Macaca fascicularis: one gene and its partners. The protein of the gene in region 2 interacts with the protein of the main gene of each other region in a pairwise test. Links are inferred from orthologs where the notes say so. Each region holds a gene or a part of one and is shown on either strand. Other genes may lie near its edges.

Region 1 (3,643 bases), on a different chromosome or scaffold from region 2:
TTGTCTGCCCAGGGACCTGCACCCGTGAAGTCATCCAGCTCCCTGCTCCCTCCTCCAGCCTGTCCAGTCTGTTTTCCCAGAGTTCCCTCAGGGCTGGAGACAGGCAGGCCTGACTGCGGGTGTAGAAAGCAGCACTGCTCGGGGCACCCCTGCCCGGGGCCCAACTTTAGAGCTGAGCTCCATGGCACTAACAGAAACACAAAGACTTTCATTCTTAGAAAACAGTGGTTGGAAAGTCTGGTAACCGATTGGGATTTGGTAACTGGGAAGTGAAGATCCCCGGACTCCCCACCCACCCGCTAAGGATGGCAGTGAGACTGGAACAGGAGATTGGGATCTCTGCCCTGAGAAACCAAGGACAGCCCCACGGTTTCGAAAGCTCGGCTACCCCAGCCCCCCAAGGGAGCACCCGGGCAGGCAGCTGTCCCAGGAGTACACTCCTTTCTCCTCCCATGGGTGCTCAGAGTGCCTGGAAGTAGTGGGTGAGAAGGAGGATGTGCCCTATTCCTGGGGAGTCCTGGCCCCCCACTGCATCCTGGTGGGTCTAAGCCACCGTGAGGGCTGCCGGTGGCCCAGATGGAGCGCGGCTCTGCAGGTTCCAGGTCTCCAGGGTGATGCCTGGGGTGGGCCTTGGGCTCGGGGGCCCTGGGGCAGGTGGCTGTATGGCTGTGAGAAATTTCCACGGATAGCGCGTGGCCTCCCTTTCCATCTTGTTGGCCCCACCAGTGTTAGGGGCCGGGAGAGTCTGGTTCTCCCCTGTCCCTTTACAGATGGGAATACCGAGGCCCCCAGAAGGGAGGGCGTGTTCAGGTGACAGGGTGAGGGTCAGGGCCGTGGCCAGAACCCAGGACTGAACCCAGACAGGAAACTCACAGGAAGGCATTCGTGGGGCCCTCCGACCCCTGGAGTTGAACCCTGCAGGGAGAGCCTCACGGCCAGCCTGGGGCCGTGTCCCCATGGAGGGCAGGGCTCGTGGGCCCCAGAGTAGAAACCCCAGCCTGACCTGAGCGTCGAGGCTGCTCCAGGGCAGACAGGATGCACAGGGCCCTGAATCCAAGTGCTGTTCTGCCATCCAACCCCAAGGCCCTGGGCAGGTGCTGTGACCTCTGAACCTCTATAATTCCTGTAAGCGATCTGGAGACATGAGTGTCCGTGAGAAGTAAATGAAATAATGCAGGTAAAGCTACCCGGTATTCAGTAAGCGCCCAATAGTGGTGGCTCATACTGGCACGGCAGGGCCACACCTTCAGGTGTCTCCCAGGCACACCTGGGTCACATTTCCCCGCCCTAACACTGCTCTCCTTCTTGTAGGACTTCTGTGTAGCTCCAGGCCCTGCCCTGCCAGGGGCCCACACCCCGCAGAGCCCCTTTGTCCTGGCCCCCAATGCCACCCACCTCGAGTGGGCTCAGAACGCCAGCTTGGCCCCTGCGGCCTGGCCCCCTGCACACTCCCTGCGGGCCTGGCTGGCCACACCTGGGAGGGCCTGCACCGACACCTGCCTGGACCACGGGTTGATCTGTGAGCCCTCCTTCTTCCCCTTCCTCAACAGCCAGGACGCCTTCCTCAAGTGAGTGTGCCCCCCACCCAGCCCCTATCCTCACTGGCCCAGCCGGGCTCACTGAGAGCTCTCACACCTAGAACCGGCCCTCAGCCCTGCCAGTCGGGGGGATTTAATGCTTTCCAATGAGTCAGGAAGGATCCAGAAGGGATCCTCCAGGCCATTATCCAGGTCACTGCTGCCCTACTCTTGGCCAAGCCCTAAACTACCAGGGAAAGCTCCTTCCAGTGCCTGCCGTCTTCCACCCACTCAGCCGCCTACACATCCTATTTGGGCATTGTCCTATCCCAGACCATGAAAACTGTCCCGGGTGCTCCTCCTACTGGGGCTGCCTGGGTCCCCAGCCCCTCCAGGCCAGGCCCCTCTCTTCTCCAGGGGTCCCTGGGTAGCACGTGGGATAAAGGAGCCGTAACACATCTCCTTACCCAGTCTGGGATGGGGATGGGCCAGAGAAGTGGGGCAGGCGGGTCTAGGCTCGGGGCAGCCCCTACCCTGCCCCAGCCCTTCTGCCCAAGTGACCAACGCTGAGTGACGGTGCTGTGCGGTGCCTGCCAGGCTGCAGGTGCCCTGTGACAGCACCGAATCGGAGATGAACCACCTGTACCCGGCCTTCGCCCAGCCCGGCCAGGAGTGCTACCTGCAGAAGGACCCTCTGCTCTTCAGCTGTGCCGGCTCCAACACCAAGTACCGCCGGCTCTGCCCGTGCCGCGACTTCCGCAAAGGCCAGGTGGCCTTGTGCCAGGGCTGTCTGTGAGTCCACCTCTGCCGCCCTGCCTGGCACCCATGCTGGCTCTCTCCTGCCACAGGAGAAAGCACCAGCAGGTTCTGAGCTCCGGCTGCTTGTCCTTCTTGCAACCCCTCCAGGCCGGAGCTTCCTTCCTTAGCCAGGAAGCTGGCAGAGGAGAGCCGTGCGTAGGAATAGGAGGAGGCAGCACGCTGAGCCCCTGGGACCTCCCAGGCAGGCTCCTGGTTCTCTCCTGGGGACTCACGGCAGCATCATGGCCAAGAAGATGTCGGACTACTCAGAGTCCTCATGGCCCAGGAGCAGGTGGTCGGAGGCCCCTGGCTTTGTGCAAGGCCAGATCTGGGCCAGATGGTGAAAGGGGCCCAGTCATTCTTGGGCCCAGGATGGGGCCTCTAGACTTGCAAGGGAGAGGAGCAGAGACCAGACTGCCCTGTGGTCCCTGAAGGGTCCAAGGAGGGGCCCTCCCCATGGCCCTGGAGAGCAGGCCTGGGTGGTACCTGCTCCAGGCAGGGAAACTGGGGGCTCGCCCTCCTCCTAAGAGGGAAGCCAGGCACACAGGGCCCACTGGTGTTTGGGATGTGGACAGAGGGGCAGGGGGCTGGGAGAAGGCTAAGCTGAGGAGTCCTGTTTGTGCCTCCCCTTAGCCCCTTCCCTCCCGATTTCCCGATTCCCCCACCCTCCTTCTACACTTGAGGACCACAGTTGGGGGTGCAGGAACCACCCAAACCCTAGTTGAATTGTTTCTCTCTCCTGCTTGTTCCAACCCTTTTCACTCTGGGCTTCTCCCAAAACCCATCCCGGCATGACCTGTGACTGACTCCAGACGGTGGATTTGTTCCAAAGCCTCAATCCCTACCCCCTCCAAGGGGCAGGTTTCCACCCCAGCCTCAGAGAATGGGCTCTGGGACCCCCGCCCGGGGGTGGCCTTCATGCACCAGGCACTTCCACAGGTGCTGACTCCCCAACTCCCCAGCATCTTTTGCAGACGAGGGCTTGGGATGGAGCCTTAGCCCCATGGTACGCCCTGCCCAGTTTCCAGTTGCCCTGTGTGCTTACCCCAGATAACCTCCCAGCCCATCAGTGCTGAGTCCTCATCCCTACCTCCAGCTTCCTCCGGCCTCAAACGGCCTCCAGATCTAGCCGTCCTTCTCCGAGTGGCATGCCTGCCCCGGGATGCCCCCTGTTCCTCCCCCCATGCCCAGAGCCCCGCCTGCCTCAGCGGGTCAGGCCTTCAGAACACTGCCACCCACCCAGTTTGATAATCCTGCTCCCACCCACCAACCTAGGCCTGCTCCTCCGCCCTTCCCAGGAGGCAGCCCCGGGATGCTGAGAGTTGGTG
Region 2 (3,743 bases):
CATTCAGGCCCGGCTGCCGCGCTGCCATCTCCCGGCACCTTGCGCCCGAAACGGTCGCTCTGGAGCCCGTGGCCGTCCGCGGCCGTCCCTGAGAGGGTCAGGCCACAGCTCGACCTGCCCTGTGATCCCATCCCAGAATCCCAGCAGCAAGCAGGCTCAGGCTGGGCACTTCGGGGTACCAGGAGTAGGTTCAGCCAACTGGTTTCCCCCATGAGGCTTCGCGCACAGGGTTATCTGGCCACGGGGCAACGCTGGGGAGCCCTGTGGCCTGAGGGTGAGCAAAGGGCAGGCTCCCAGTTCCCTTGCGTCCAGCCCATCTCCCAGTGGCAGCCAGCCAGGAACAGGCCTGCGGGGCCACGGAGGTGGAGGCGTCACCGTTCGCAGGCCCGGAGCAGGATGGCCGCTGGGGGATGTGCAGGCATAGGGGTTGGCCAAGGGGCCCCAGAAGTGTCTGTCCTAAGGGGTTGGTCTGCCCTTTCCTCACCAGCCCAGCCCCTGAGGAGAGAGAAGGAGGCAATCCCCCAAACAGGGCAGGTCGGGCGGTTGCCCCTCCCTAGCACCCCCTACTCCCAAACACAGAAACCCTGGGGTCTGTCCTCAAACCTCCCTGGCTGCCACGCTCTGGGCAGCGGACTCTCCCTGCCAACACGCAAGACCAGCTTCCCTCCCACAGGCTGAGCAGAAAGAAGAAAGGTCCAATCTCAAAACCCTCGATTCGACCACCAGCCCCTGTCTAAACGGAAGTAGGGCCAGCCCCTCACAAGTCAGGTGGGAAACTGGGCCCAGGGAGAGAAAGTGCGCCAGGGCCAGGCTGGGACCCGCTGCGGCTTGGTCCGCATGCGGGCGGGCGCCTCCACGGAGGTCCCAGGGCGAGCTCCCGGGCCTCGACACCCGGCCGCCAGCCACGCGGACCCCAGCCTGCGCCCCGAGGGAGGCCGGGACCCCTAGCCGGCGGGACTGCGCGCCGCCCCTCTCCCCTCAGGTCCCGGCGAGCGCCTAGCTTCCCCTCCCCCGCTTCCCGCCTCCCGGCCGGTGTCCCCGCCTTCCCCGCGGGCGACGGGCGGCGGCGGCTGGAGGAGCGGGCCGAGCCGAGGCCGCCCCGGCCTCGCGCGCTGGGATGTAGCGAACCAGCAGGGGTCGAAGAACCGTGCAGTGCCAGAGCCAGAGCTGGATCCGGGTCCCACAGCCGGAGCCGAAACCTGAGCCAGAGTCCGCGGCGGGCGAGCCCGGAGCCAACGAGCCGCAGACACAGCGCTGCCCAGGTGGGGTAAGAGACGCTGGGCTAGGGGCGCAGGGTCTCCGCGTTGGAGGGGCGCAGGGAGGTGGCGGCCGAGTCCTGAGCAGTTTGCTTCTGGCGTGTGTGGGTCCAGCCGGCAGCGCCTGACAGCGCAAGGCGCGGAAGGTCAGGAGCCTTCGAGGCAGCGCGAGGAGCTCGTTCCTGCACCCAGGGCACAATCATAGCCGCCGTCACCGGGTGCTACCCCACCTAACTGGTGGGATCAACCCTCTGCTTTAGCTCCGGACACCCCAAGAGGGTAGCAGCCTCGGGGGCATGGGCCACGGCCCCGCGAAGGGCACAACCTGGGAAGCCGGTGGCAGCCCCTCGCGGCGTTGCGGGACGCAGGGCCCCCATCCCCAACCCCAGGAGAAGTGGGCAGGAGAGAGGGCCGTCCGCTGCTCCCCGCTGCGTCCAGCGATAGAGTGCCCCACCACCCATGGAAGTGCTGGCCCCTCTGCGTGGCCCGGGACTTCGGCCGTGGCTTCGCTTCAAGAGGGTATTTTTCCTAAACGAAACCGCTTCATTCGTTCGTTCGTTCGTTCGGGCAGCAATGCCGCAGAAAAGCAGGAGACGTCGGTCCGCGCCCTGGCTCTCTTCGCCCCGGACCCAGACGTCCCGTCGCAGCGCTCGGAGGTGCCCCCAGCCCATGGCGGCCTGCCCTCGCCGGCACAGGTCGGGCTTTTTCTTCCCAGGAGAGAAACCCCAAATTTCCTTCGTAACGTCCAATAAAGACATTCCCGCGGCTTCTCCCGGGTTTGGTTGTTGACGCAGGGTCCCAGAGCACTGCAGCCGCTTCTCAAGAACCGGGTCTCGGATTTCTGAAATTGACCAGCTTCGTAAATTGGAGCCTATTCTCCCGCAGCAAAGGGCCCCAAAGCTGGTATCGCAGTAATGGGAACCCCAGGCTGGAATCCGGGTCCCAAACTTTTCCGATTTAGGAATTCCCTGAATCTACAAATATTTAGTTCACTTTTCTGAAAAACTAAGGCTTGTGTATTCTCTTGATATCCCTGTGACCTCTGAAAGCCACCAGGGTCAGAGGGAGGAAATCCCAGGTTGCTGTCCACTAGGGGAGGATTCAGGTCTAGGGTTCAGGTCTAGGGTAGTCAGGGCAAAAGCTACAGGCAGCAGGGGCAGCACAGAAGACCTGCTGTCCCCGTACCCTTTCCTGGGGCTGCTTTGGGCCTCCCACCTCTCTTCCAGGGAAAGGAAAAGAGGTGGGCTGGGGCGTGGAGACCAGGCTGTCTGGACTCTAGGATGCAGAGGCCTCCAGACAGGCTCAGGGTGCTCTTCTCCCATGAAAGCAACCGCTGGGAAGAGGAGGCTATGGTGCATCCATAAGTTGCCCCTGCTCCCCAGTTGTGCGACCAGCTGCTACGCCCTTCCTAGTCTTCTTCCCCCCAGCTCAGCCATTCTCAGGAACCAGACAGCATCCATGGACTTAGGTGAGAGATGGGCTGGGGAGAGCCATGGGTCCTACCAGCCGCTGACTGAGGGGCCCACAGCACAGAGTCCTGAGTTCCATACTCCCATCTGTGCTTCACTGGCGGCAGTCCTGCCCAAATACATCCTGGCTGTCCCCAGGACAGGCTGGGGATCCCCAATTGGCAGGAAGCCTCAGACTGGGGTCCCAGGAAGCCTAAAGGAGCCAGTGAGGTCTTTCCAGCCCCTACCTGAGCACCCTCCTCCCCACTTACCCAGTAGTTGCTGTATTCAAAGAAACAGGAGCTTTTATTGGGGAGGGGGTATTAGATCAGGCAGAAAGAGGTAGGTGGTCCAAACCTGCACTCCCAAAACTGGGTTTTCAAGTTTGAACTTCTCCACAGACTAAGAGGCTTAGGGCTGGAATGTCCCAGAGAGTCATGGATAGCCCTGGTGGCAGGTCATGGCACATTCCTTCCTTTTTCCTAAAATACCTTGATTCTGGGAGCAAGGATTAGAGCAGGGTGCCCCCATGGGTGGGTAGAAGGATGGCCCCCACCCATAAAAGCCTTCCAACCACCCTGCCCAAATTACATTACTAAACCATTCTTGGGCACAGGCTGTTTTTAGTGAGCTAGGCTTCAGGAAGGGTCCTCGTGGTGACTACTTCAACCCCACAACAGCCCAGGTTCTTCTGCTCAGCCCAGCCAGGACCCTAAACTCCAAAATTCTTGAACATCACAGAATCATTGCTGGCTTTGTGTGGTCAGGGAGGGGTGGGGAACAGGGCACATGGTTCCAGCTCCACCAAGCCCCCTTCCCTCCTCTCTTCCTGTCCCATCAGCAAGTGAGCTGGACACTGAAGCAGCAGGCAGAGTCCGGTGTTGGACGTGGGAACTGAGGCTCAAGGCAGATCAAGTCTTTACCTTGAGGCAAACATAGGTCACCCAGCACAGCTGGGGGAACACAGAGCCTCTGCTTACTCCTGAAAGAGTGCTGTTTTCTGTCCTGTGTGTGTGACATGTCCCTGAGTGTGCAAGAA
Region 3 (3,743 bases), on a different chromosome or scaffold from region 2:
CTCTTAGGAGAGCGGAAAGGACCTCCTGGACTCCTGTAAACCCCCATTCTTCCCAAGTCAGACAGTCTCCTGCTGCTGGTACCTGGGTGGGCAGTGGCCACCATGTCTGCACACACCAGAAATGGACATTTTCATATGTAATGGAAAACAGCCACAAAAAACCTACCTTATATGGAAGTTGTAGCCCTCTGCAGCTCAGCCCTGTACATATACCTGTCCCTCTCTGGCTTGGTCCCCTTCCTCCCTACTTTCTGTAAATATCTGTATCTAAACCAGAATATTTTGGTCAAATATAAAACAATAATAAAAAAAGTTCTGATGTCATAGTGTGGGATGGGGCAATCCCAAGGAAAGGTTGTGGGGTATGCACGCAGTGACTCACAGAATCACTAAATTAGCAGTCTTGGGATGAGAGAGAACCCTTTATGTAAAGCCTCTTCAAGTACAGTGAGAATTAACTTCCTCCTGACCTCTCTAGTGCAGACAGAAATAGATTCCATATTCCATATCCCACTTCCCTCCTCACCCCTGACAGAAGTCATTCACCCCCTCCACCACCCAGCCTTCCTCTCTGACAGGGAAGGGAAGAGATTTCTCCCAGTTGGTGGGGGTAATTCTCAGGTTCATAGGGCAAAAGTTGCCCCAGAGACAAGGGTACTGGTGTTGAGAAGCTGCAGTTCTTCCGGAAAGGTGTATCCAATGTCCTGATGTTACTGACACCCTGGAGGAGTGCCAGGATGAGGATGGATCTCGCTTTCCCCAAGCCAGAACAAAACAACTCTGCCCTACCTTTCCTGCCCCGCTCTGCCCCCAATACCTAGTCACCCTCACACACCGGTAGCTGTGGTGCCCTCTGTATCCAGAAGGTCTCAGGCTGCTCCTGGCGGTAGTCGTGAGGCTGTGAGGGAGGGTACTGAGTAACTCCTGGCCTTCAGCCCTCTCTCTCAACCTCTGGGCCCGGTACTTGACCACAGCCTGTCAGAGCCCAGCTGTGCAAGTGGCAGGGGGTGGGGAGTGGGTTCTCACCTTTGCTGGGGCAGGAGTCCCTGATTGCACCAGCTCCATTCGGTAGTCATGGTGTGTCACAGACTCGACCTCAAAGAGCTTCCTTGTGGGTTCCTGTTCTGCCTGTACCTCTTTACTATGTAGCCCGAGAGGTGTCAAGGCCATTCTCACCCAATTTTTCTCCTCCCCCTCCCTCTTCCCTTTTACCCAATCCCTTACCGGATCTGATGCTGCAGAAGCATCTCCAGCATGGCTTCACGCTTCCCTGTGAGAGGGTGGGGGGTGGGCAGGGTGGGGTCTGGTTAAGAAGGAGGCCCAGAAGAAACTAACTTGAGAAAAGGAAGAAAGACCTTGGGGGTTCTGCCCTTATATCCATTGGACAATCCACAGCCCCACCAGAAATTCCTTCCTCTTTTTCCCTCTGACTATTGGACTCGTTCTGGCCTACACTCTCTCACATTTCACACCTCGAAGTGGCCAATAGACATTTCCTGGTGGCTGGTAGGAGTCTTTCTGGATGGTGCTGCGGGGCATGGGTGACTTTAGTTGCATAGTCAGCAGTCCCCGGTGTCCGTGTCGGAAGAAAAAACTCTCAGAGCCATCCTGCATGCTTGGGACTTGATCCAGGTGGTTGGTGGCTCTCTGTGGATCCCAAGTTGAATGACTATAATATCCCTTCTGGTACCCATCCTTATGTGAACTACTGCCTCCCCTAAGAAACTGAGGGCAGCCTTCAAGAAAAGGGAGCAGGCCAAAACTTTAATACCTCTTCCTCCCAGTTGTAGAGGAGGCACTGGCCCCGTGGCAATGTTTCATAGTGAATCGTAGGCTTCCCTTTAATGTCTGGGGGTTTCCATAGTCCTCGGGTACCCGGTTCTAAAACTTGCAAAAATTCCCAAGGTGGTTGTTTCTGGGGCTCCCAGGGGCAGTGCTGACTCCCGGAGGTATAGTTAGGGACTCGATCTGCCCCCAGGTTTCTGAACCCTGGAGGAATAGAGGGGCTGAGCTCAGAGTCAGGGCCAGTGCCTGGACCAGGCCCAGAGGCAGGACCAGGATGAGAGCCAGAGCCATGACCAGGACCAGAGCCAGAGACAGGGACAGAGCCACAGCCAGGACCAGAGCCAGAGCCAGAGCCAGGGACAGAGCCATGACCAGGACCAGAGCCAGAGCCAGAGCCATGACCAGCATCTGAGCTGGAGCCAAGAACAGGCCCAGAGCTAGAGCCTGGAACAAGGTCAGAGTTAGAACTATGGTCGGTTGTAGTGCAAGGGTCCTGAGCAATACAGGAAACATAGCCGGGCTCAAAGCCAAGACTCCCATGGGCTATATTGTGGGTAAAGCTGGGTCCCGCACAGGGCTCCCCAAGAAGGCTGGGGTCAGAGGATGGCTCCATGAACTCAGAGCAGGGCGCTGGGGTCTTTGTAGATAATGCAGCTGCTTTGGTGGTGGTGAAGGCTGCGGTAGCTGCAGCAGCTGATGCAGCCGCTGCAGCTGCTGCGGTTGCAGCTGCCAGGGCCGACCTAGGACTGTCATCTGAAGAAGGAAACGGTTCCGAAGTGGGCCCCAGTCCTTCGGAGCTGGGCTGTATGTCTAAAGATCTGAAAGAAAGCAAACACGACAAGGCTGTCAAAAGCGCAGCAGAGGAAGTCCGCTGACCTTGCTCGTCCCCTTCTGCCTGCAGCCAGAGCTGCGGCTCTCACCGCGACCGCGATCCCTCCGTAGACTCGTTGGTCTCCATCTTCAGACTCCAGCTACCGGGTTGCCATAGAGACAGCAAACAACTCCTGGAGCCTGCGCAGAAGTAGAGCTAGGCGGACTTGCAGGTGGGGGTGGAGGCAAGTCCTCTGCGGGGCGGAAGTCTTCAGCCTAGTGCTGTCAGGGAGGATCGCTTTCCGGTCCCGGCGGCAATCCGCCTCAGACTGGGTTTTAGGGTTCCGCTGGCTTAAGACCTCCCCCTCCACGCCCGAACAGAACAGTCTTTGCGGTTTTCTAAGGTGATGCTTTATGGGGATATGTTGTAAACAGGCACAGGACTGTGGCATTAGGTAACAGCCTACTTGGTGTTTGCAGAGACGCATCAGTAGCTTTCCTTTAGTTTGCTTAGTTCATTCTCAAAAGTGAGTAGGGTCTTTAACAAATGTTAAGGTTGAAAATAAACTAGCTTGAGCAAAATGGTGAGACATGGAATAGTGAAAAGGCAGCCGCTTTTTGTTTGGGTGATTACTCCTCCTCTAATAAAAGATCCTCATATTGACAGCCCTCCTCCTAAGCCCCCTTAGAACCTGGTTTGACCTATGAAGAAGGGCCAGGATGGGCTTTCAGTTTCTTCTGGCTTTCAGTTTCTTCCTACTCATTTAGGCTCATTCCTACTGTTAACTTTTCTAGAAGCTTGACCTAGGGTGGACCACTTGTCAAGAAGACTTACATATCTGCAGGCAACCTTTAACCACAGGTTGGACCCTCCTCAGTGTCTTTCACTCAGACCAGTCAAGGGGCATCATAGCCCTGAATCAGTTTTCTTTCCCCTTTGTGGTATAAAATTTTATATTAAAGAGAGCATAATTAAAGGATAACAGTTTTATTAGTATCACAAGGTCAATTTTTCCCTTTCCATCCAAGCATCCAGAGTCTGGTGTCCTTTGGTCAATTGGCAGGTTCAACCTGGAGGCCACTGGAGCTGCCGGCCCCCAAGTACATGAATGTGCAGATGATACACAGATTGTGCACCCAGCTTCCCA

What was found.
Region 1: the proteins of PITX1 (region 2) and MGAT5B interact in a two-hybrid assay, tested with the Homo sapiens proteins (2 studies listed by BioGRID). The link is inferred for Macaca fascicularis from reciprocal best matches to the Homo sapiens genes PITX1 and MGAT5B.
Region 3: the proteins of PITX1 (region 2) and SPAG8 interact in binary tests that used the Homo sapiens proteins (3 or more experiments, as listed by UniProt). The link is inferred for Macaca fascicularis from reciprocal best matches to the Homo sapiens genes PITX1 and SPAG8.

The regions. Positions count from the first base shown.
Region 1 is NC_088390.1:83,377,147-83,380,789, forward strand, and holds part of MGAT5B (alpha-1,6-mannosylglycoprotein 6-beta-N-acetylglucosaminyltransferase B), read left to right. Parts: intron 1-1,311; coding exon 1,312-1,568; intron 1,569-2,114; coding exon 2,115-2,313; 3' UTR 2,314-3,643. UniProt on the Homo sapiens protein: Glycosyltransferase that acts on alpha-linked mannose of N-glycans and O-mannosyl glycans.
Region 2 is NC_088380.1:141,576,103-141,579,845, reverse strand, and holds the start of PITX1 (pituitary homeobox 1), read left to right. Parts: upstream 1-1,080; 5' UTR 1,081-1,262; exon of another isoform or gene 1,263-1,267; intron 1,268-1,827; 5' UTR 1,828-3,743. UniProt on the Homo sapiens protein: Sequence-specific transcription factor that binds gene promoters and activates their transcription. May play a role in the development of anterior structures, and in particular, the brain and facies and in specifying the identity or structure of hindlimb.
Region 3 is NC_088389.1:63,589,916-63,593,658, reverse strand, and holds SPAG8 (sperm-associated antigen 8), read right to left. Parts: upstream 2,755-3,743; 5' UTR 2,744-2,754; coding exon 2,706-2,743; intron 2,604-2,705; coding exon 1,772-2,603; intron 1,648-1,771; coding exon 1,473-1,647; intron 1,271-1,472; coding exon 1,225-1,270; intron 1,142-1,224; coding exon 1,027-1,141; intron 899-1,026; coding exon 836-898; coding exon of another isoform or gene 818-835; intron 722-817; coding exon 539-721; 3' UTR 410-538; downstream 1-409. Other genes in the region: NPR2 (atrial natriuretic peptide receptor 2), read left to right, coding at 1-39; adenosine 5'-monophosphoramidase HINT2, read right to left, coding at 3,662-3,743. UniProt on the Homo sapiens protein: Microtubule inner protein (MIP) part of the dynein-decorated doublet microtubules (DMTs) in cilia axoneme, which is required for motile cilia beating.